Coturnix japonica: one gene and its partners. The protein of the gene in region 1 interacts with the protein of each later gene in a pairwise test. Links are inferred from orthologs where the notes say so. Each region holds a gene or a part of one and is shown on either strand. Other genes may lie near its edges. The genes, in order: ABI3, HOMER3 and NUP58.

Region 1 (6,784 bases):
TGGCTGTAGGCATCAGATCCCTGGGAGCTTCAGGGCAGCAGAGTGTGTTTGTCTGCCTGTGCCAGATGGGGAATTGAGGCACTGATAGGAGATAACGGGAGCGAGATCCCATCGGGATGCTTCTCTGCTCAGCTCAAGGCTTCGGAGCCCATTCTGCTGCTGGGCTGCCAGGAGTTGGAGTCCAGTTACAGCCCTATGTGTTTCAATACAGCCCTACACTCCCCACCTTGTACCAATAGGTAACAGCTGTACCCATTCCTAGCCCTACCTGTGCCATTAAAGCCCATTTTGCTGCTGCAAACCAACCACGAATCAGTGATGGGAGCACACAAACACTCTCTGCTCCATCTGCTTCACCTCATCTCTGGGATCAGAGGGGTAATATTTCTTCCTTTTTTTTTTCCTCTATATTTTTTTTCTGCTGCTACTTCAGATGCAACTACATTTTGTTTCGGTTCCTCCCCGGTGCTGAGGTCAGACTATAGGGAAAGCAGGTTTCTGACAGTCTTGGCTTGAGTATGGGAAAGGCTCTGTGCTCAAAGCAGGGCGGTGCAGGAGGAGGAAGGATGTCAGCTTATCGTACAGCCGCCCTTCTCCTTAAAGGGGTTCTTGTCCTCAGGGACACCTTTTAAAAGCGGGTCCTCTCCTGCCATGGATTCTATGTATTCCTTGAGCTCTTTGCCAGTCTTGGAGACCTGCAAGGAAGGAAGGAAGGAGACGCCCAATGTGGGTTATGGGAACAAGCAGTCGCTGCAGAGCTGCTCATCGTCTGCCTATAAATCCATGTGAGCCTCTGGGAGAGGGACCCACAGAGCTGCCCTTGGCTGTGGTGTGCCCCATCAGCATCCTCAGGGTGCCAAGGTTACTCTCTGTTTTGCGTTTTGGGGCAATACTCACCATTTGCCTCTCGTTCTTCACTTCCTTCTTCAGCTGATCCAATTCCATTTTCAACAGTTCCTTCTCTGTCATATCCTGAGCCATTCTGCCCTGTAACCAACAGAGATGGCACGTGCTTGAAGCTTGTCAAGGGCACTTTAGGACTGTTGCTTTTGCCCTAATGCTACTGCAAATAACAGCTGATAACAGCCCTCCATTCCTTGTGCCAGCCCTGCAAGTAAGAGGTTAATTGTGTCCCTTCACTGCTGTTACCTCTGTGTGCACAGAGACCTTCAATGCTGTGAGCTGGAAAAGCCCATCTATTTTTTACGAAGGGGCATCCAAGGGTTATAAGAGAGACTTGGAGAGTTGGCTTGTGCTGCTCCCATATTAAAACTTGGGCTCGAAAGCCTGGCCACAACCACTTAAATCATAAAGAGGAATGTGATTAAGCAGCAATGCTTCTTGTCTCTGCTTTGGAAGTCATCAAACTTCTGTTCCCCAAACCCTGCTGATTTTGTGTGGCTGTTTTCATGGCATACATACCCAGTGCTCCTCTCCCCATCAATGTTTATGATGGGTCCCAAGGAGATGAAAGATGCAGCTCAGCTGTGCTATCAGCTCATGGGGGTGATGGTAACACCTGCAATTCCTTTGTGCCTGGAGGAAGCAAAGCCACTTACCTGTATGGATGAGGGGCTGCCCCTCTCACTGCTGGAGATGTTCAGAAACCCATCGAGCTGCCGTCCTCTGTGTCTGCACTGTTCTGTTTGAAGACTCCTTTGGATCTCCCAGCCTGTAGCAAGGAGCAGATGTCTTTGGTCCCTAAGCTGATAATAGACTCAGAAGAATAAGCTGGTCAGGTGTTGGGCATTAGCCTCAAAGCTTGGGGTAATCAGTGGTGGGGCCATAGGGGAGGGTGAGGGAGGAAGGGCAAGGGTGGAGATGAGCTTTGTGGGGCACTCAGCAGCCCCTGAGCTCACACTGTGTGTTTTTGAGCCTATGTAGGCCTGGGGCCTGGCTGGGGGAGCAAAGGGAGCATCCCTTTCTCCTATGGGATGGAATGGGGGGGGCAGGAGGCAGCTGGGGTGGCTCTTGGCCATTAAGGGGGTGAGAAGCAGAGCTGGTTCATCATTTCCCTCATCCTCACCTTAATTGCTGTGGGCAATTATGGACATTTGGCTCTTGCTTTGCCCATGTGAAGCCCTAAAGCTGAGGACAGAACTCAGGAGGCCCCAAGGAAGCATAAGGAGGAGGAGGTAGAGGGGGATTCCCAGCATGAGGGACCCTCCCAGTGCTGGGAAGTGAGAGTTTCCTGCCCTTGGCTGTGGCCTCTTGCACTGTCCTGTGCGGATGGGAAAAACCATTAGCAAAGCACAAGGAGGGACGTGTTGTCCCAGCAAACAGAGCTAAGCAGAAACTGATGGCTGCACCCAGCCTGAGCTGGGTGAGGTGCAGGCACGGGGCTGTCTGGAGAAGATGAGCTGGCAATGGAAGCATCACTCTGGAGCTAGATCTCCTCCTGCCAGTCCCATAAAGGCAAGGGGAAGGGAATTGCCCTTGCTGGGTGCAACAGAGCCAGGCCTGGCCCCCTGCCCCCCAGGCTCCATCAGAGGATGGAGGTGCAAGCTCCAAATTACCAAATTTGGGCTGTCAGGAGCCAAACTGCAGCACTGACCTGGAAATGGTGCCCTACCCATGGCCATGCTGCCTTCAGCCTCATGAAGAAGCCATACTCCCTTGATGGGGCTGGTTGAATTAGAGGGGGTGAGTATGGATGTGTAGAGCAGTTGTAGGCGGCCTTGCAGCACTCCAACAGCTTTCAGGTTCTACCTGCAGCCTCCAAACCTCCACCAAGGGAAGCTGGGAGAGGTGACAACCCACGGAGCATCAGCAAAGCAATACGTCAGCATCACCGCGAGCTTCAAAACTCGGCGCCTTAAAGACTGGGGAGGAAGTGGGCTCCGGTCCCAGCGCTATGGCGGAGCCGCTGCAGCCCTGCGATGTCCCCGCAGCACGGCAGGGACTGCGTGATAACCACAACAACCTGCAGCGTGTGGCTGAGTATTGCGAGAGCAACTACCTGCAGGTGGGGTGTAGGGATGTGTGTGGGGCTGGGATGGGTTGGGGGGTCTGTGGTGGTGATGGGGAGGATGGTGTGGGGGTGAAGGCTTTGCTGTTCCCATTCATTTCCTGCCCAGCATTGAGAGCTTCTCTCGTGCCTCAGTTTCCCCTCTGCTCAGCCATCAGGGTTATGTGTGGGACATTGTGGGGGGGGTCTTCTGGGGTTTTTTGGTGCTGGAGGGGAGCAGGGATGGCAGCTCAGGGTCTGGGAGGTGCTGACAGTGCTCACTCCTTCCCAGCATAGGGTGGGCAATGGGCTCTGTGCTGTCCTACTCCCCCCTGTCCCTGTGACCTGCTGAGGGGATGGCAAAGGGTTGGTTTGGCCCCATTGGCTGGGAACAGTGCCCTGACCGGGGGTCTCTTGGGTGCTTTAAGGATCCCACCTTGGTAGCCTCATTCCCCCATGGCAGACCCAAGGGAGTGGTGATGGTTGTTCCCTCACCCCATCTGGGGCTGTGAATCTGCACTCTGTCCCATGGCCGGGCATTGCTGCTGCCTCAGTTAAGCATCATCCAGGGCTGGGTTGTTTTCTCATGCTGAAGCTTCTGGTCGGTTCACAGCCCCCCAGCTGCATCTCTGAAGGGGAAGCATGCAAAACAGCTCAGAGAACTGAGACTGCTTCCCCAGCTGCTGGCAGCGGGACTGGAACAGTCCCAACAGCACAGACCCTCCTGATCCCCTCTGTGCTTCTCCCACTGCACCCTGATGGTGCTGAGCATCGCTGAGTCCCACTGCCTGAGCTGGAGGAACTGTGATGCATTTGGAAAGCAGAAGGAAGCCCCTTTGCTCCCTTGTGACCCTGGTTTGGGTATGACGGCGGCGGCACTTTGTGCTCTCAGCCATCCCAGCTCATCACAGCTGTGTTTCACCCTCCAGGCAAGCGACAAGAGGAAGGCTCTGGAGGAGACGATGGCTTTCAGCACACAGTCCTTGGCCAGTGTGGCTTATCAGGTCAGCAGCCTGGCCACCACCTTCCTGCAGCTGCTGGACCTGCAGGCAGCCGAGCTGCAAAAGCTGGAGGCCAATGTCAGCTGTGTAGCCCAGGTGGGTCTGACCTCAGCCACTGCCATGGGTCTGTACTGCTGTGGGGTTTCAGCCCTGAGAAAGGAGCAGCTTACAGGGACTGGAGACCAACTTTTCTTGTGGTTTTAATGGCCTGTCAGCCCCTGCAGCACCTTGGTCACCCAAGAAGCTAAAGGACAAGACTACCGAGGGGTGGGAAACTGTTCTTAAGGGCTTGTCTTAGTCTGGGTGTTTGGGGACCATGGCAGCCTCTGGGGAAGCCCCCAAGGAGCTACCCTGCAGCAGTCACATAGGCTCAGATGCTGTTATCTCCCCTCGGTGGACACTGGCCTCGTCCCCTTGGAGAACTAGGGACAATGACTCAGAGCCCTGCAGCCACTCACTTTCTTCCTGATATTTGAGGGCTCCTTAGAGCCTTTCCTGCTGCCTCCACAGAGCGTTGACATGCACAAGGAGAAAGTATCTCGTCGGGAGATCGGCGCTTTGACCGTCAGTAAGAGGTTCCCATCCCACCAGAAGATCACATCCCCCCCCAACCCACCCTCCCTAGAGCCCTACTACAGGAAACCCCTCAACTTCAGCATCCTGGATGACATCGGTCACGGCATAAAGGTCAGCCTGGAGGGTGTCCCGTGGGTAGATGGGGGTTTAGATGGGCTTTATGTGATCTGGTGGGGGTACAAACCCCTCCTGGATGGAGAAAGGGGGTCTGTCTATGCTTCCTCCAGGACTTGTCCCAGTGGGGCTCATCTTGGTGCAGGAGGGGAATGGGACACTGACAATGCCATAAAGGCACACAGTCCCAGAGTTGCTTGGCTAAGGCTGAGTTGCATTACACCCACAGTGCTGTTCCAGCACTGAAACTGCCCCTGTAAGCTGCCCCCTCACCGGAAGGCGTCTGTGGGTTTTCAGCAGCATCAGAGCCACGTGCACAGTGTGAAACCGCTGTGGAGTCGAAGGGGAAGTGACAGTGCTGGGGCTGCAGTTCCCACGGTGGCAATGCCAGACAGCAGCACCAATATCTGCTTCTATCAGCACCAATATCTACTTCTATTAGCTGGGGCAGCCCCTCACCACCCCCCATCCTTTTGAGAAGGGTTCAGCAAAGGCCTTTGGGGCACTATAAGGGCATGGTAGGCATGGAGTGCAATGAACTTGTCATGTGTATGTGTTTTCTTCTGCCTGCAGGATCACAGCACTCAGCTGTCCAGGACAGGCACACTGTCTCGGAAAGGGATGAAGATAACCACACAGTCTGCAGGCACCATGGGGTGAGGCTTCTGGGATGGTGTAGAGTAGGGAATCTTTAGCTTGGGTGTCACTGAGCAGGGACAGAGCCATGGGGTGCACTGCCCAATGCAGCTGCCCTCTGTGTCCTGTCAGCATGGGCTCAGTGCCTGCTCTGTTGGCAGGAGGAGCACTCGTGTCCCTGAGCCCATCCAGCCCCCCGTGGTTCCCGAGGGAAAGCTCTCTGCAGCTTCATCTGCTTCCTCACTGACATCAATCAGGTACCAGCCTGGGCCAGGGGGGTGTCTGGAATAACCAGGGAGAGGGGGATCAGTGGGAATAGGGCAGCTGTGGTTACCCCACTGCATCTATTTGCAGAGAGGTTTTGATAAGCAATATTGTATTGGAGAGCAGGAAATTCACTGTGTGTATCTAGAGCAAAATAACAGAGATGGTTCCCAAGGGGGAAACTAAGGCACAGGATGGGGAAATGGCTTTGCACACAGATGCTGGGGTGCCTGCCCGTGGTGACAGCACTGGGTGTCACCCTGTTCTAGCATAGAGCAGACACCCATGTTCAAAGATGGGAGGGCTGAGACATGCCTCCCCACACACACATACACCCCTTTTACCTGACTCTGAATCCCCAGCTCAAGTGGAGGAGCCCCTGGGGAAGGCATCCCAGCACCACCCCCACTCCCACCCCTCCCGGGACCACCACCCACCCCAGCTGCAGCCACCATCCCACCCCCTCCACCTCTCCCTGGGGATCTGCTCCCACCACCACCACCACCAGGGGACCTGGATGTGCCCCCACCAGACTTCAGCCTTCCAGGTGAGTGCTGCGGTGTCTGGGGGGTGCTCATTTCAAACACAAATGCTGTGCTCTGCTCTGTATGGAGCCGCTTGACTCTCACTGAATTTGTTCTACAGTCTCCAATGACCCAGAGTCACCGCTGCCACCACCACCACCACTGCCCAACTTTGAGGATTTCACCCCACCACCACCACCACCAGCTGCAGAGGAACCCTCATGTGTCCCTGAGAGCTACTTGGATAAAGGTACAGCAGCTCCAGGGTCAGATCTGCTGAGATCCACCAGATTCTTTGGCCCTGGATGTGGTCACAGCACTGAGGATGTGACTGCCCCACTACAGGGCAGTGCAGAGGCTCAGCCCTTCCCTCCTGCCCATCTCAGCTGTCCCCACTCTTCTCCATGGCGTCTCTCCCCTTCTTTGCACAGTGCTGACCATCTACCCGTACACACGACAGAAGGACAATGAGCTCTCCTTCGAGCCTGGTGCCCTCATCTATGTCACACGGAGGTACTCTGATGGATGGTGTGAAGGCATCATGGGCGAGGAAGCAGGTTTCTTCCCTGGCAATTATGTAGAGCCCTTCTGAGCACCAGCAGCTCCCCGACCCCTCATCGCCCACCCAGCTCAGCTGTGTCCAGGAGGTGAGGGCTCCACTTTGCCTTTGACTTCTGGCTTTGCACAGCTCAGCCCCTTTTTGCTGCAGCCATGACATGACC
Region 2 (6,848 bases), on another chromosome or scaffold:
TCTGTTCTTTCTCATGGCTTTGCTTTGAGCCCTCTGCTCAGTGAGCTGGGCAGGTGGTCATTGGGCACCTCTACCCCTGGGTGCCTCAGCCGAACAAGGAGGGACCTGTTTCTGATAGAATATATCCAGACTAAGATCACATGGGGTTTGTTGGTTGGTTGGTTGATTGGTTTGGGTTTGGTTTTTGCTGTTTTTCCTTTTCCTATGGGTACCCAGAGACCCTTCAGTGGTGCCCGGCTGTGGCCGCGTTGTTTGCGCCCAGCTCTGCTCGCTGTGCCCGGCAGGTGGTGCCGCCGAGCCGGCACCGGCCCCTGGAATAAAGTCGAGAGAAGGAGCGGAGAAATGTGACCGAGATGGGGCAGTTGGAAGAGAGAGGAAGCGAATAGGAGAGAGAAGGGGGAAAAATACCCAAAAAACCCACTACAATACGAGTGAGAGAAGAAAGAAATCGCGATCCAGAAGGACAAGCGGCAGCGGTGGTTGAGCTTCTTGGGCTGCGGGGAGAAACTTGCGAGGCTGCCGGAGCAGCAGCGAGCAGACGGCTTTGTCTAAAAGCGCTTGCAAAAGCACCACCTAATCCTGCTGCTCCCCTCCCATGCTGAAGGGAAGGAGGGAGCCTGGGAGCCAGAACGCAGGGGGAGCTGCTGGGGAGCTCAGCGGTCGGGGCACTGCCCGAGTTCCACCGCTGGGTGTGGGCTCCCGCAGGCCGGGGGGGTCCGGGTCGCCCCTACCCTGGGTGCCCCGCGAGACCGGGGGGTTGCCGGGCGTTTGGAACCGACCGCAAAACTAACAGATTTCCAAGTGAAATTCCGGAGGAAATTTAAAGAGCATCCGGATCCGGAGAGAGACAGAGAAAGAAAGAGGAAGGGAGAAATAAATCAGAACGTGGAGAGAAGCTAAGGCAGCTGAAGAAAAGACGGGAGAGAAAAGAAGCTGACACCCAGGCAAAGATGGGGTGAGACTGGCACTTTCTTATTCTTGAGTTTCATTTATTATTCATGGCAGCTGAGCTATTTTTAACGTAACTGCAAAAGAAATGGGTTTATATTGCATTGTTTTCCCCCATACCGTGAGCTCGAAAGTTTAGACTTAGCTTTTTACTTTGGTTATTAGAAAGGAGATGATTGCAAATCTCTGCAACTGCTTTAAACACGTACATAAGGGAAGCCTCTAGTGATACATATGATGTACAGAACCCAAAGTGTGTGGCTGGGTGGGTCTGGGCTGTGTACATAAAGTTCTCCAAGAGTTGGGAGTTAAGGGATTTTATTGAGCTGTGGTTACTTTGACACTACAGGAAAAATGGATCCTGTTTGTATTTCTGAGTGGGTACAAAGCTGATTGGAAACCTCTGCTCCGATTGTCCTGTAATGAAATAATGCTGTGTGGATGTGGCAGTGGATTTTGGCATGGAAATAGGAGCTTAGCCTGGTATTTAATTTATGCCCTATTTATAAATCTCAGTCATGTAAGTTGAAGGACCTGACACATTGTTGGGAGTTTCTTGTGTGTTAAACTCTTCGTGGCTGTTTGGAAGCACAGTGGATCTGTCTGATCAACCCCCTCCAACTGTGTGGGTTTGGCATTACAAGGCGAATAAGTGAGATTCTTAGAGGCTTGTTTTCCTCTTGTTGATATCCCTTATGGACTATCCAGATAAAATGATCGAGCAGGCAGACACACCTTCAAGACACAGAACAGGTAGAGGCGAGGAATCAAAAGTGACAGCAGTGTGAAGCAGGCGTAGACCCTTTGAAGTCGGTGAGTATGTGCTGATACAGGTTAAAGCAGAAAGTGTCCTTGTTTTCCTCTGACTTTCCATCTGTGATGCACAAAGTTACCGTAAAGCTTCCAGAAGTGCCAGGAAGGGCGTAGCAGGCAGATGACTTGTGACAGCTCAGTGTGTTTCCCAGGGGCAGGGGATGAACCCTTCTTGGAACAGCCACAATTAACATCCATTGTGATTTCAGACCCCCAGCTCTGAATCTCTGAGCTGATGTCAGCATCTCAGTCTGCTTAGATCACTCTGTGTAACTACACTAGCAAAACTAAGCCAGAGATGACATTTCCACCCACAATTCCACTTGTCTCCTGAGTTAAAAGGTCTTTTTTGCTTGTATGTTGATCACATGGGGATATTAAGTAGCTTTCAGCAGCATTTAGATTCCTCTCGATACAGAAGGGATTAAAAGTGTCCCACCTTCAAATGATGTTTGGCACTTGGTTTTAGTTGATTTATTTTTGAAGCAGGGATTCTGGGCTTTGTTCCTCCATGTTAGATGTCTTTGGTAACATCACATTCTGCTTTTCACAGGCAAACTGCCCTTGGACTCGTGTATTAGCACACTAGCACTTCCTCTCTGAAGAGTAGAGTTGTAAATAACACTTGATTGCAAGGGAAGTGAATGCAGTTGGGTCCCAGCTGTGACCTCAGTAGGTATTTATATTTCTTTGTCTCTACTAACTGCATAAGCAGAGAAGCACGAGTGCATACAACTTATAATTCGATTAGTATAGAGTTTTCCCACTTATCAAAGAGTTCACCTGCTCTTGTGTGTAGTGCCGCTGCACTGTGAGCAGCAGATAGAGCTGGCCCTTGAGCTGGTTGTGCTTGTGGAGCTCTGACAAGTCCAGGTTGAAAATGGCAGCAGAGTTCAGAGAGCTGAGTGAGGGAAAGCAGGCATGTGTGCTGGATGTCAGCTGGGTCCTGTGGCTCCCAGTGAAGAAGCAGAGGCAGAATACATTTTGGAGTTGTATATGGACATGTATATGTCCACTTCTTTGGTTCTAGTTATTACTGAACATGTTTGGTTTTTTATTCTTCTGGAATGTAAGAAGAGTTGTGTAGTTTCAGTCTAGCTCTGCTGTTTTCTAACTGTAATTGCTCTGCAGGCTTCCAGCAATGGTCTGTGTGCGTCAAAAGAAAGAACTGTTGATGCTCAGTGGCAGAAGTAATGGTTGTCTCAGGAAAGTGAATGTGTAGGTTGTGTTACAGACACCCAGAGTGTTGCAGAGTGTTCAGCAATCAGAATGCTCTGTAGATAGAGACTGGTTTCTGAGAGAGGGAAAAAAATAAACAACAGCGGATTTGTATGTCTTTAAATGCCCTTGATCTCCGTTCTCTGTGCCTGACCTTGCCTGCTTGCTGCTGTTCCCAACAGGAGCATATTCAGCTGGGATTCCTTTGCTGCCCTTTATCTGCAGGCAGGCCAGGAGGCAGCTGCTTTTCATTCCTATGCTAAACCCTGCTGGTTAATCTCTTGGGAGTTGGGGGAGGCCACAGGGAAAGCAGCCCACAGCCAGCTTCCAGCTCCCACTGCCGGAGCTTCACTGCTCAGCCTTCCTTGTGTGGCTGCTGATAGAGAAGTCTGGCCTCTTCTGGTCCCACCTGGACTCCAGCAGCATCTAAGCATTTCACCCAAGGTGACATGATGCAGCACTGAATGAAAGCAAGACTGTAGCTCAAAGGGCCTGAAAACCTGCCTGGTGGTTGGAGCAAAGGGCTACGGGCCTTCCCAAACTTTTGCAGCAGGTCAGTGAATAATAATCATGTCCTGCAGGCCAGTACCCAAATCCTAGGCAGGCAGTGTCCATGCACACCCTGTGCACCCGTTTATGAGGAAGCAATAGCTTCCATAAGCTCTTGGAGGTAGTGAGACCCAGTCTCTGGCTTGGGAAAAGTTAGACTTCCAGAATAAAGGCAATGAGAAAGAAATGAGGTTTGATTCTGCAGTCCTGTTAGTCCACACTTCCTCAGAAAGCACTGACATGCAGTCATCAGCTATTCAGGCTGCTGAGGGAAGATAAAAGGAAACAAAGATAGACAGCAGTGGAGGAGGAAACTGGTTCTCACGTCCTCTCTATGCTCCAGTTCTGCCTTTTGAAATACCAGGCCCTGGCAGGCTGAAATGCATTCCCCCCCCCAGCCTGTCCCAGCCATCTCCTCCCTCAAATTACCCAGTACTGCACTGCATAGTGGGCTTTTTCACATGAGAGAGTGCTGGCTGCTGATCAGCAGCAGGCACAGCCCTGACGCAGCCAGCACGGCCTCCCAGCTGACTCAGCGTGGTGCTGGGCCAGGCGCCAGAGCTGAGCCACATATCTTTGGTGCTCACATGCTCTCACGTACCCCCTTCTGCTCTGCGCAAGCAGGACCCATCCAGGAAAGTAGTCCTTGGAGAGAAAGGACTTTAGGAAAGATTACATTGAGAACTGCAAAGTTTTCACCACAGCAGCTGGGAAATCCTTACCTAATGCTGTCCATGGACCTTTATCAGTTGACTTTTTTTCTGGGGACTCGCATGGCTGTGCACTGAGTCCAGCCACAGTGCAAAAATACGTCCCTAAGTCTCTGTGCTCTTAAAGGTATCCCGCTGCTATCACACCCCAGAGCCCCTCCCTACCCTTGTACCTGTGCAATGTTGTGCCCACAGTTCACAGAAACAAATGATTCTGCTGATAGGGTACTTTGTGGTTTCTCATATGGCATTTCTGATTTGGTTTTTAGATGAAGGGGAGCTGCAGACTGCTTGGATGCAGAGCGAGGTATTTAAAATGATCGCCCTCTCTGTGTCCAAATGCAGAGACTTCTTTCTCTGACAAGTAAATGAATGTCCCTGCAAAGAGAAGCTGCAGTGAAAGAGAGGGGGAGCAGCATGTGAACCTCTAGATGTGCCCTTGGCTGAACCCTATCCAAGAACACCAAGGCAAATGCAGTTAATGAGGACTGAGCTCAGCCTCACCAGCACGTCCCAGCTGCTGCTTTAAGTGCAGCATCTGTTTGGGGAATGGTGACTCTAAAAGCTTCCCTTTCCAAAGCAAACATAGCAAGATTTCTTTCTGGTCATGCAGCAAAGGGGACAGGTGGGCAGGAGGTAGTAAGTCATTTGGTTAACTAAATAGGCGTGTTTTAGGTGGGTAGACAGGATTGTGAGGCCAGAATTACTAATGGGGGGGAAAATAAAAGATTCTCAGTAGGAAAAATCCTCCAGATTGCACAGGAAAAATGGAGAAAAACAAGGACACAAAGCATGAGCCAAATGCAGCGGTGCAGTCAGAAACACCTCCCCACGCCCTGTGTAGAAGCTACTGAGCAAAGACGTTGCTGGGTGCCATAAAAGATCTGAAGCAAAGAGCGTTTAAAGATGAAAATAATAAAAGGGTTTATTCTTCTCCCTCTTTTCCTTTCAACGAGGTCTGGCAGGAAGGCTGCATTTTAGCAGTTGCCCTTAGGTTTGGGAACCCACTGAGGAGAGCGAGCCTGTAACTGTCAAATGGGATTTTCCTAAAGAGGTGGTATTTGCACTGGAAATACTACGCAGAAGTAAATGCAGCAAAAGGTTGTTTCTCTGAGAAGACCAATGCTGTGTAAAGAACCCAACAGGCAGCTGGAATTGGGGTGTGACAAAGACAGCACACATTGAAACACAGGAGCTGCCACGGTGCTGTTGAAATTCTGTTCCCAGCTCTGTCTGTGCCTTCTAAACAAAAAGAATCTCTTTTTGTTTCTGTTTGGTTATTAAACCCATCTGCTGGATTGAGAGTATTTCTCCAGCAAGGATTAGAGAAAGTGCTCTGTAAAATCCTCCCACTAAAGACATCTCAAGCAAAGGAATTAATGGTGACTCTCTGCTGCAGGTGTAGATGGTCCATGTAGTAGAGCTGGATAGAGAAGCTCCCTGTTATCAGGAGCTCTGCTTCAGCTTGGATGTTGTATTGTGGTGTGATGAGCCCGTGTGGCATATGCATTGCAGTGATTCAGGGGAACAGAGCTGGTGCCAGTCCCTGGTGTTGCCTCTGAACAGCTGCAGGCCCATTTGGACAGGCTTCTCTTGGAGGTGGCTTATTTCCTTTTCTGTTGCAGGGGAGATTCTCTGGCACGTTCTGTCTGCAGAAGCACTGGATTTCTTCAGAAGATCTTACTTAGGAACAAGCTTACAGGCCTATAAAGAGCCTGTATCCATCCAGGACACTCAAGGACAGTCTGTAAATCTACTGACATATGTGTTCAGATTACACAGAATTGGAGAGGCAGCACTGGTTTTAATCTCCAGATTTTGGCACTTTAGCTCAGCATTCCCCCACAGGTGAAACGTGGCACTGGTGCAAGAGAATGAACTGATGCCATCTGTACCTCCTTGGCACATGGCATTGCTTGCAGGGTATTCTCTTCTAGGGGCTTGGCAGCATTTGGATGTATCCCATCATGGTGAGGCCCCTCACTCAGTGTTGGCCAACTCAGTCCCTTTGGCTCTCAGTTGTCAATACTCTACTGGGGCCATAAAATAAGAGGACAAATAATGATTTGCTGTCATAGTAATGGTGAAATAAGCAGCTATTCATTAAGAAATCAATTAGGGCATTGTAATGATGAGAATAATATAAGAATCAAGGTACAAATGAAACCAGCATGCATTTTTGTATGTCATCTTAAGGACCACTGGGTCGAACTCCACTCAGTGAGCAAATCAGCTATGATTGATCCATGTTATTTCCAGACATCCAGTGACTTTCTTCCAACTTCTCTAAGGAGAACCAACAAAAGGAGGTAGCTGAGTCTGTGCTCTGGTGCTACAAAGAGCATGTTAGGAATAGCTGGATTAGTTGTTACAGGGACTCCCAGCTGGGAGCAGGAAAAGAAGAGGCAGCATTTAGGGATGTGTGGTGAGCCCAGCTTAGGCACTTAAAACACAGGGGAAGGAGGACTGTAGTGGGAAAGAGAACATGACAGTTTGAATCCTAGCCACTTTCAAGACTATTTTTAAGTGCTTTGTAGTGTTTTTGGAAAGAAGAGGCCAGCAGCTTGGCCAGAAGCAAGCTGATCTTCAGACATTACCCTGTGTAATTTG
Region 3 (6,616 bases), on another chromosome or scaffold:
CACTTCAATTAGGAAAAGCACGTTAATCTCCCAGCAGTCAGAATGGAGTCCAAATCATGCCTACACATGCACTGACCTTGTAGGGCACCTAGTGCAGTGGCCAGACTTAAATATTATAATAAAAGACACATTTTAGCCCTAAAACCCATCATTTTAAAACAGACTGGAGGGGCCCGGCGAGGCTGGGACACGATGGGCCCAAGCACACCCCACACCCCCACCCCATAAGCAACCATCCCGGCTTTAACAGCACCGTCACCCCGCGGTACCTTGGTAGTGCGGATGTGCTCCATGACGGCCCCGAGGCTGAACACAGCACGCAGAGCCGGGCCGGGCTGCCGACACCTACTGCCCGTCACCTACTGCCGCTTCCGGGCCGGGGCCGGGCGGAGCCTGGAATAATGGCCTACAGCGCCCCCTGGAGGCGGGAGGCTGCGCGGCCCGACTTGGCCACTGTGGTGGTGCCGTGTTGTGCTGGTGGTGACGCAGGGGGTGTTGGCTGTTGGGTTTGGTGTTGTGTCGTAGCGCTTCACTCTCATCACCCAGTCACAGAATCAATTATCAAGGTTGGAAAAGACCTAGAAGATCATCTAGTCCAACCATTACCAATACTTCCCAGCTAAATCATATTCCTCAACACAACATCCAAACGTTTCTTGAACACTCCCATGGTTGGTGACTCCACCACTTCCCTGGGCAGTGCATTCCAGTGCCTGACTACCCTTTATGAGAAGTAATACTTCCTAATGTCCAGCCCTCCATAGGAGCTGCTGTTGGGGGAGAAGGGAATGAGCGTGCAGTCCTAGAATCAGAATCAGTGTGGGTCACAGAATCACAGAATCACAGAATGACCCGGGTTGGAAGGGACCTCAAGGATCATGTAGTTCCAACCCCCCTGCCTGGCAGGGCCACCAAACATACACATTTACTAGATCAGGTTGCCCAGGGCCCCATCCAGCCTGGTCTTGAACACCTCCAAGGACGGGGCATCCACAACCTCCCTGGGCAGCCTGTTCCAGGGCCTAACCACTCTCCTAGTGAAGAACTTCCCCCTAACATCCAACCTAAATCTTCCCTCTTTTAACTTAAAACCATTTCCCCTAGTCCTGCTATTGTCAGCCCTTTCGAAGAGTTTACTCCCCTCCTGGGAGTAAGTTCCCTTCAGGTATTGAAAGGCTGCAAATCTTGTAAATGGGTTGGAAAAGATCATCCAGTCCAGCCTTAACTCAAACCCTGACACCCACATTCCACATCAGTCAGTTCTGCACCCACACAGTACTGAACGCCTCCAGGTTCGGTGGCTGCACCGCCTCCATGGGCAGCCTGTGCCACTGCCTCACTGCTTCGTCTGAGAAGTTTTTCCTACCTTCGTCAAACACTTGGTTTTCAAATGATTCAGGGAGGTAATTGTCCCCCTGTACTCAGCACTGGTGAGGCCGCACCTCAAGTACTGTGTTCAGTTTTGGGCCCCTCACTGCAAGAAAGACATTGAGGCCCTGGAACGTGTTCAGAGGAGGGCAACAAAGCTTGTGAGGGGTCTGGAGCCTTATGAGGAGCGGCTGAGGGAGCTGGGATTGTTCAGCCTGGAGAAGAGGAAGCTCAGGGGAGACCTTATTACTCTCTGTAACTTCCGGAAGGGAGGTTGTAGTGAGCTGGGGGTTGGCCTCTTCTCTCGCGTAATCAGTGATAGAACTAGAGGGAATGGTTTTAAGCTGCGCCAGGGGAGATTCAGGCTGGACATTAGGTAGTATTACTTCTCGGAAAGGGTAGTCAGGCACTGGAATGCACTGCCCAGGGAGGTGGTGGAGTCACCAACCATGGGAGTGTTCAAGAAACGTTTGGATATTGTGTTTATGAATATGATTTAGCCGGGAAGTATTGGTAATGGTTGGACTAGATGATCTTCTAGGTCTTTTCCAACCTTGATAATTCTGTGATTCTGTGATTGGGTGACGATGCCCACAGGCCTTCAGAGGGTATTAATATAATGTCCTAATATAATATAACGACTCCCGTTTCCCGTTAACACCTATAACAATAGCAGACTGCTGCCCATCCATCCTCCACGCTCAGTGCCGTGCACCCGTCGGGTCGCTGTCGCTTTAAGATCGGGCTGTGGCGGTGCCTCCATCCCGTGGTGCGTAGCGCGGTGCGCGCGTAGTGCTGTGCTGCGTGGTTGCCCGGTTGCTCGGTCTCTCGGTGTCTGGCCGCGTTCCTCCCGCTGGATCCGCTCCGTGCCGCCATGTGGCGCTGAGGCCCCGCCCGCCTCGGGAGCCCCCGTCGCCCCGCCGAGACCCCGCCGCCGCCTGACGCCGTTCCTCAGCTCCGCTCCGCTCAGTTCCCGCCGCCATGTCTGCGGGCTTCTCGTTCGGCGCGGGCACCCTGGGCTCCGCAGCTGCTGCTGCCGCCGGGGCTGGAGGAGGAGGCGGGGGCGGCGGGTTCTCGTTCGGCACCACCGCACCGAGGTAACGCGGCCCTTCTCCCCTCAATCCCTATCGGCTGGGCCCTGCCGCCGGCCTCCCCTACCGGCCCGGCCTGCGTAGGCCTCGGGGTGGGCGGTCGGCAGGCGGCTCTACGCTTGGGTCTCTTGGCGCTTTTCCGGCCTCTCCATGCGGCCTCAGTCCCGGCCCTGCCCTCAGGTGGGATCACGGTGTCCGCACGGCCCCGGGTGCCGCGGGGCTCCGTCCGTGCCGCTGTTGTGTGCCGACCACGCGTGGCTCTGCTAAAGGCCCCGCTTAGCGCTCAGGGGTCTCTTGGAGGTGTCTCAGAGGCACCTTGGAGGTGTTCAAGACCAGGTTGGACGGGGCCCTGGGCAACCTGATCTAGTAAAGGTGTATGTTTGGTGGCCCTGCCAGGCAGGGGGGTTGGAACTACATGATCCTTGAGGTCCCTTCCAACCCGGGTCATTCTGTGATTCATTCTGTGATTCTGTGAGTCAAGTTTGAGTTTCAGGGTTGTTTTTCTTTTCCATATATGTGCGTACAGGTGTGTTAGTGCCACTGTTTCTTCTGATTTTCTTGCTGCTGTGCTTTTACTGGAAGGAAGCCTGTTCCAGTGGAGCTTTCTCAGAACTTTGGAGCTCTTCCCAAATCTGATGGTGCCAAACTAGTTGTTAGAAGTGAAGCTACTCAGGACATCAATCTCAAATGGGTGTGATTCACAATGCGTGCCCCCAAGCATTGGCAGGAATTAGCAGGGACATGGGATCATCACAGAATAGTTTGTTTGATCTCTTTTAAGGGTCCCTTCCATCAGCCACGAGCATTTTCTGGAGATTGATGGCCCTCCTTGTGGGGGGGGTTGGAACTTTATGATCCTTAAATGTACAACTATAATTGAGAACTTCTTTCATCTGATTGATGCAAGTTTCCTGTAGCATTTAAACGTTTATATAAGCGTTTATTTTTTGCTATTCTATCGAACTTTTCTTAGACTACTTAAAAAAAAAAAGAGTAAATATATCATACGTGCCAATAATATATAATATCTAAAATAATAGCAAAGATGTACTTGGCATTTTTGTTTATATCTTTATTTCCATGAGTAGGATGAGTTGATCTCTGCAGAGCTGAAAGCATTATTGCCAGGTGTTGGGGGAAAGGGGACTTTATTCTGTTGTCTAATCATAGGTTGTTATGGATCACTGTGATCAGTCACAGTTTATATTCTTGTGTCTAAAGGAGTACGGCATGGCAGCCTATGTAATTCCTGTGTGCTACATATTCAGCTTTATACAGGTATGGTGCTTTGTGAGGCGCTTGTTGCCCAAGTGAGTTGTGGATGCCACATCCCTGAATCATAGAATCATAGAATTACCGAGGCTGGAAAAGACCTTGAAGACCATCAAGTCCAACCGCAGCCTAACCAGTACCCTAACTCTAAAAACCCTCCACTAAATCATATCCCTGAGCACCACATCCAAACGGCTCTTAAACACAACCAGGGATGGCGATTCAACCACCTCCCTGGGCAGCCTATTCCAGTGTTTAACTACCCTTTCTGTAAAGAAATTCTTTCTAATATCCAACCTAAACTTGCCTTGGCGCAACTTGAGGCCATTTCCCCTTGTCCCATCATTTGTCACTAGTGAGAAGGGACTTGCCCCACTCTCAGTGAAGGTGTTCAAGGCTGGATTGGATGGGGCCCTGGGCAGCCTGATATAGTGGGTGGCAGCCCTGCCCATTGCAGGGCTGGATCTGGATGAGCTGTGTAAGGTCCCTTCCAGTCTAAGCCTTTCTGTGTTTTGCTCTAGCTCCAAAGTTAGAGTTTTCCCTTAGGGCCACCACGCCGAGGTAATGCCTTCCATCTGTGGGCAGTAGGAAATAAACCCTGTGATCTGTGCTTTTCCATGCTGCCACTGGTTTGCCTTTGTTTTGGCTTAGTTAAACTTGTTCATTTTTCAGTTTCTCTGTTGATGCTGTTGTTTGGTTTTTTGTTTTCCCCATAGTGCTGAGCACTTGTTAGATATAGGAGCTGTGCTCATACTGAAAGTGAGGAGGTGAGGGAATAAAGAGAGGATATTAAACATATGACACTTAATCTGTGAAGATTGTTACGTTGAAGTCTAAACTGTGCTTTATTTCATTGCTGCTGTTGTACGCTGTGCCAGATGTCTCAACTGAAGGGAACTTGTGTAGTTTATCAAGAGACCAGCTTGTCTCTCTCCTTTCTTTCTTGTGTCTTCCATGTGAAAATAGCTCTGGGAATTAATTTCTTTAATTGGATTGTGCAGTGTATTCTTAGAAAAGAAAATATTTGAAGTGTAGGTATGGGTCATCTGTGATTTGCATTTATAGGCAACAAAAGTGGTTTTGTTCCTGTTTCTTGCTAAAGCAGGACAAAGCTGATGGTCTGGTGCATCTGTGTTCTTACTGCTTCAGAATGAAGTAGCACGGGTTGAGGTTTCTGGTTAGACATATCCAAGTGTACTTGCATTGTGCTTTGAGAAGACAGAAATAAGGGGTTTGGATCTTTTCCTTTTGAGGAAATAATAAATGTTAACACTCTTGTTTTGTAATAGCTCTACAGGAGGACTTAATTTTGGAACTCTGGGTTCTTCCACTGCTACGGCAACTACGTCTGCTCCTTCAGTGGGATTTGGAAGCGGGCTCTTTGGATCGAAACCAGCCACTGGCTTCACACTCGGAGGCACCAGTACAGGTAGGAAAAACACTTGTACAGCAGACATGTAAAGCAATGGTGAAGCAATGTACCATAGGCACATAAAAACAGGATTATAATATGGTTCTTTTTTCATTGTAACTCATATCTGTAGCTCAGAATATCATGTCATGACTCCATATATTACATCAGCTTCACTGTTAATAGATTCTTATGAGATTGTTTGTTTTAAAGGCTTCATGCTTTAATTTGCGTAGCTGGGGTTTACAACTAGTGGTCTTGATGTGACAGTTACTCTGCTTTCAAGATGCTACGTAATGTAACATAAGATATGTAGTGAAACAAAGCACTGGAATAAATAGTTATGATTGTTGGTAACATAACTGCTCAGTGGGCCTCACTGTTCTTACTCTTTTTCTTCTTGAAGCAGGAACAGCAACAACCATTGCTCCAGCACTGACTCTGGGTAAGGACCTCATTTGGATAGTAATGATTTACAGGGGAAAAAAAAAGCTGTTTAGTTCTTATTATGTAGGAGGTTAACGTTTGTGCCAGCTTTTTGCTCACTGCTCATTGCAGTCTGCTGTGAGCTGGAGTGGAGCTAAAGGGTTATTCCATTCCTGTACAACAGTATAAGTAGTCACAGTAAGAAGCTAGACTGCATCTAAATCCCCTGATGAGTTCCATCCTTCAGCAGAGAAGTGGAGTCAATAACCAAAGAATTCTTAAGTCAGAATTTCTTCATGTTGTGAACTTTGAGAGAACAGATCTGTTTGCTAATATTCCCTCTACTGGAAGAGTAAAGAGGTTTGAACTGGGAAGGGATGTTAGGAATATATATGATTTTGTTTCTCTGATACATGTGTAATAACTCTTTGTCAGCCATTATTAGAATTACAGGAATATGTAGGTGTTTTTATTGTTGAAACATCAGCAACTGAGCTTGATGTAATTAAAAGCGTTTGGGTCAGGGTGATGGTGGTAGTGCTACACGACAGACTCGTGTCCAAGAGCTTTGGAAGCTGTGCTAATTGGGAGAAGGTGGTACTGGTTAAGGAAGTAAATGAAGAGGATAGGAAAAGAGAGGAGCAGCAACCCAGAATGTGTGTAATCACATATGGCAGCGAGTGTTAATTCTTTTCTGTGATTGAATGAAATGTCATTGCTATCTGTTTCCAATGACTGAGAATACAGTGGTTTTCTTATGCTTGTTACTGTGGTGTGTGTATGTGTAAGTTCCTTTGGAATACATGTTCTAGAACAGAAAGCATATTCTTACTGTGAAATTAGCTGGAAATAGAAGCTTTGTTTAACTTTGCAAGTGCTTAAATTCAAAGTTGGAGGGAGTAACATCTCAACACATTTTTCTTGTTTGCACATTGAAAGCATACCCGTTCTCATGCTAATGTGCACATTCAAGGGAGAATTTAGTCTGTATTTTGGACACTGTTATTTTATCTACCAATATTTTGCTATTTTTTCAGTCAGATCTGTT

What was found.
Region 2: the proteins of ABI3 (region 1) and HOMER3 interact in binary tests that used the Homo sapiens proteins (3 or more experiments, as listed by UniProt). The two-hybrid records come from large-scale screens. The link is inferred for Coturnix japonica from reciprocal best matches to the Homo sapiens genes ABI3 and HOMER3.
Region 3: the proteins of ABI3 (region 1) and NUP58 interact in binary tests that used the Homo sapiens proteins (3 or more experiments, as listed by UniProt). The two-hybrid records come from large-scale screens. The link is inferred for Coturnix japonica from reciprocal best matches to the Homo sapiens genes ABI3 and NUP58.

What each region holds. Positions count from the first base shown.
Region 1 is NC_029542.1:3,002,731-3,009,514, reverse strand, and holds the start of ABI3 (ABI gene family member 3), read left to right. Parts: upstream 1-2,705; 5' UTR 2,706-2,854; coding exon 2,855-2,965; intron 2,966-3,876; coding exon 3,877-4,044; intron 4,045-4,458; coding exon 4,459-4,635; intron 4,636-5,211; coding exon 5,212-5,294; intron 5,295-5,435; coding exon 5,436-5,531; intron 5,532-5,900; coding exon 5,901-6,085; intron 6,086-6,183; coding exon 6,184-6,312; intron 6,313-6,493; coding exon 6,494-6,654; 3' UTR 6,655-6,784. Other genes in the region: GNGT2 (guanine nucleotide-binding protein G(I)/G(S)/G(O) subunit gamma-T2), read right to left, coding at 570-695, 898-981. UniProt on the Homo sapiens protein: May inhibit tumor metastasis. In vitro, reduces cell motility.
Region 2 is NC_029543.1:2,742,427-2,749,274, forward strand, and holds the start of HOMER3 (homer protein homolog 3), read left to right. Parts: upstream 1-2,314; 5' UTR 2,315-2,405; coding exon 2,406-2,437; intron 2,438-6,848. UniProt on the Homo sapiens protein: Postsynaptic density scaffolding protein. Binds and cross-links cytoplasmic regions of GRM1, GRM5, ITPR1, DNM3, RYR1, RYR2, SHANK1 and SHANK3.
Region 3 is NC_029516.1:158,395,018-158,401,633, reverse strand, and holds the start of NUP58 (nucleoporin p58/p45), read left to right. Parts: upstream 1-2,126; 5' UTR 2,127-2,349; coding exon 2,350-2,465; intron 2,466-5,020; coding exon 5,021-5,160; intron 5,161-5,548; coding exon 5,549-5,587; intron 5,588-6,616. Other genes in the region: MTMR6 (myotubularin-related protein 6), read right to left, coding at 270-293. UniProt on the Homo sapiens protein: Component of the nuclear pore complex, a complex required for the trafficking across the nuclear membrane.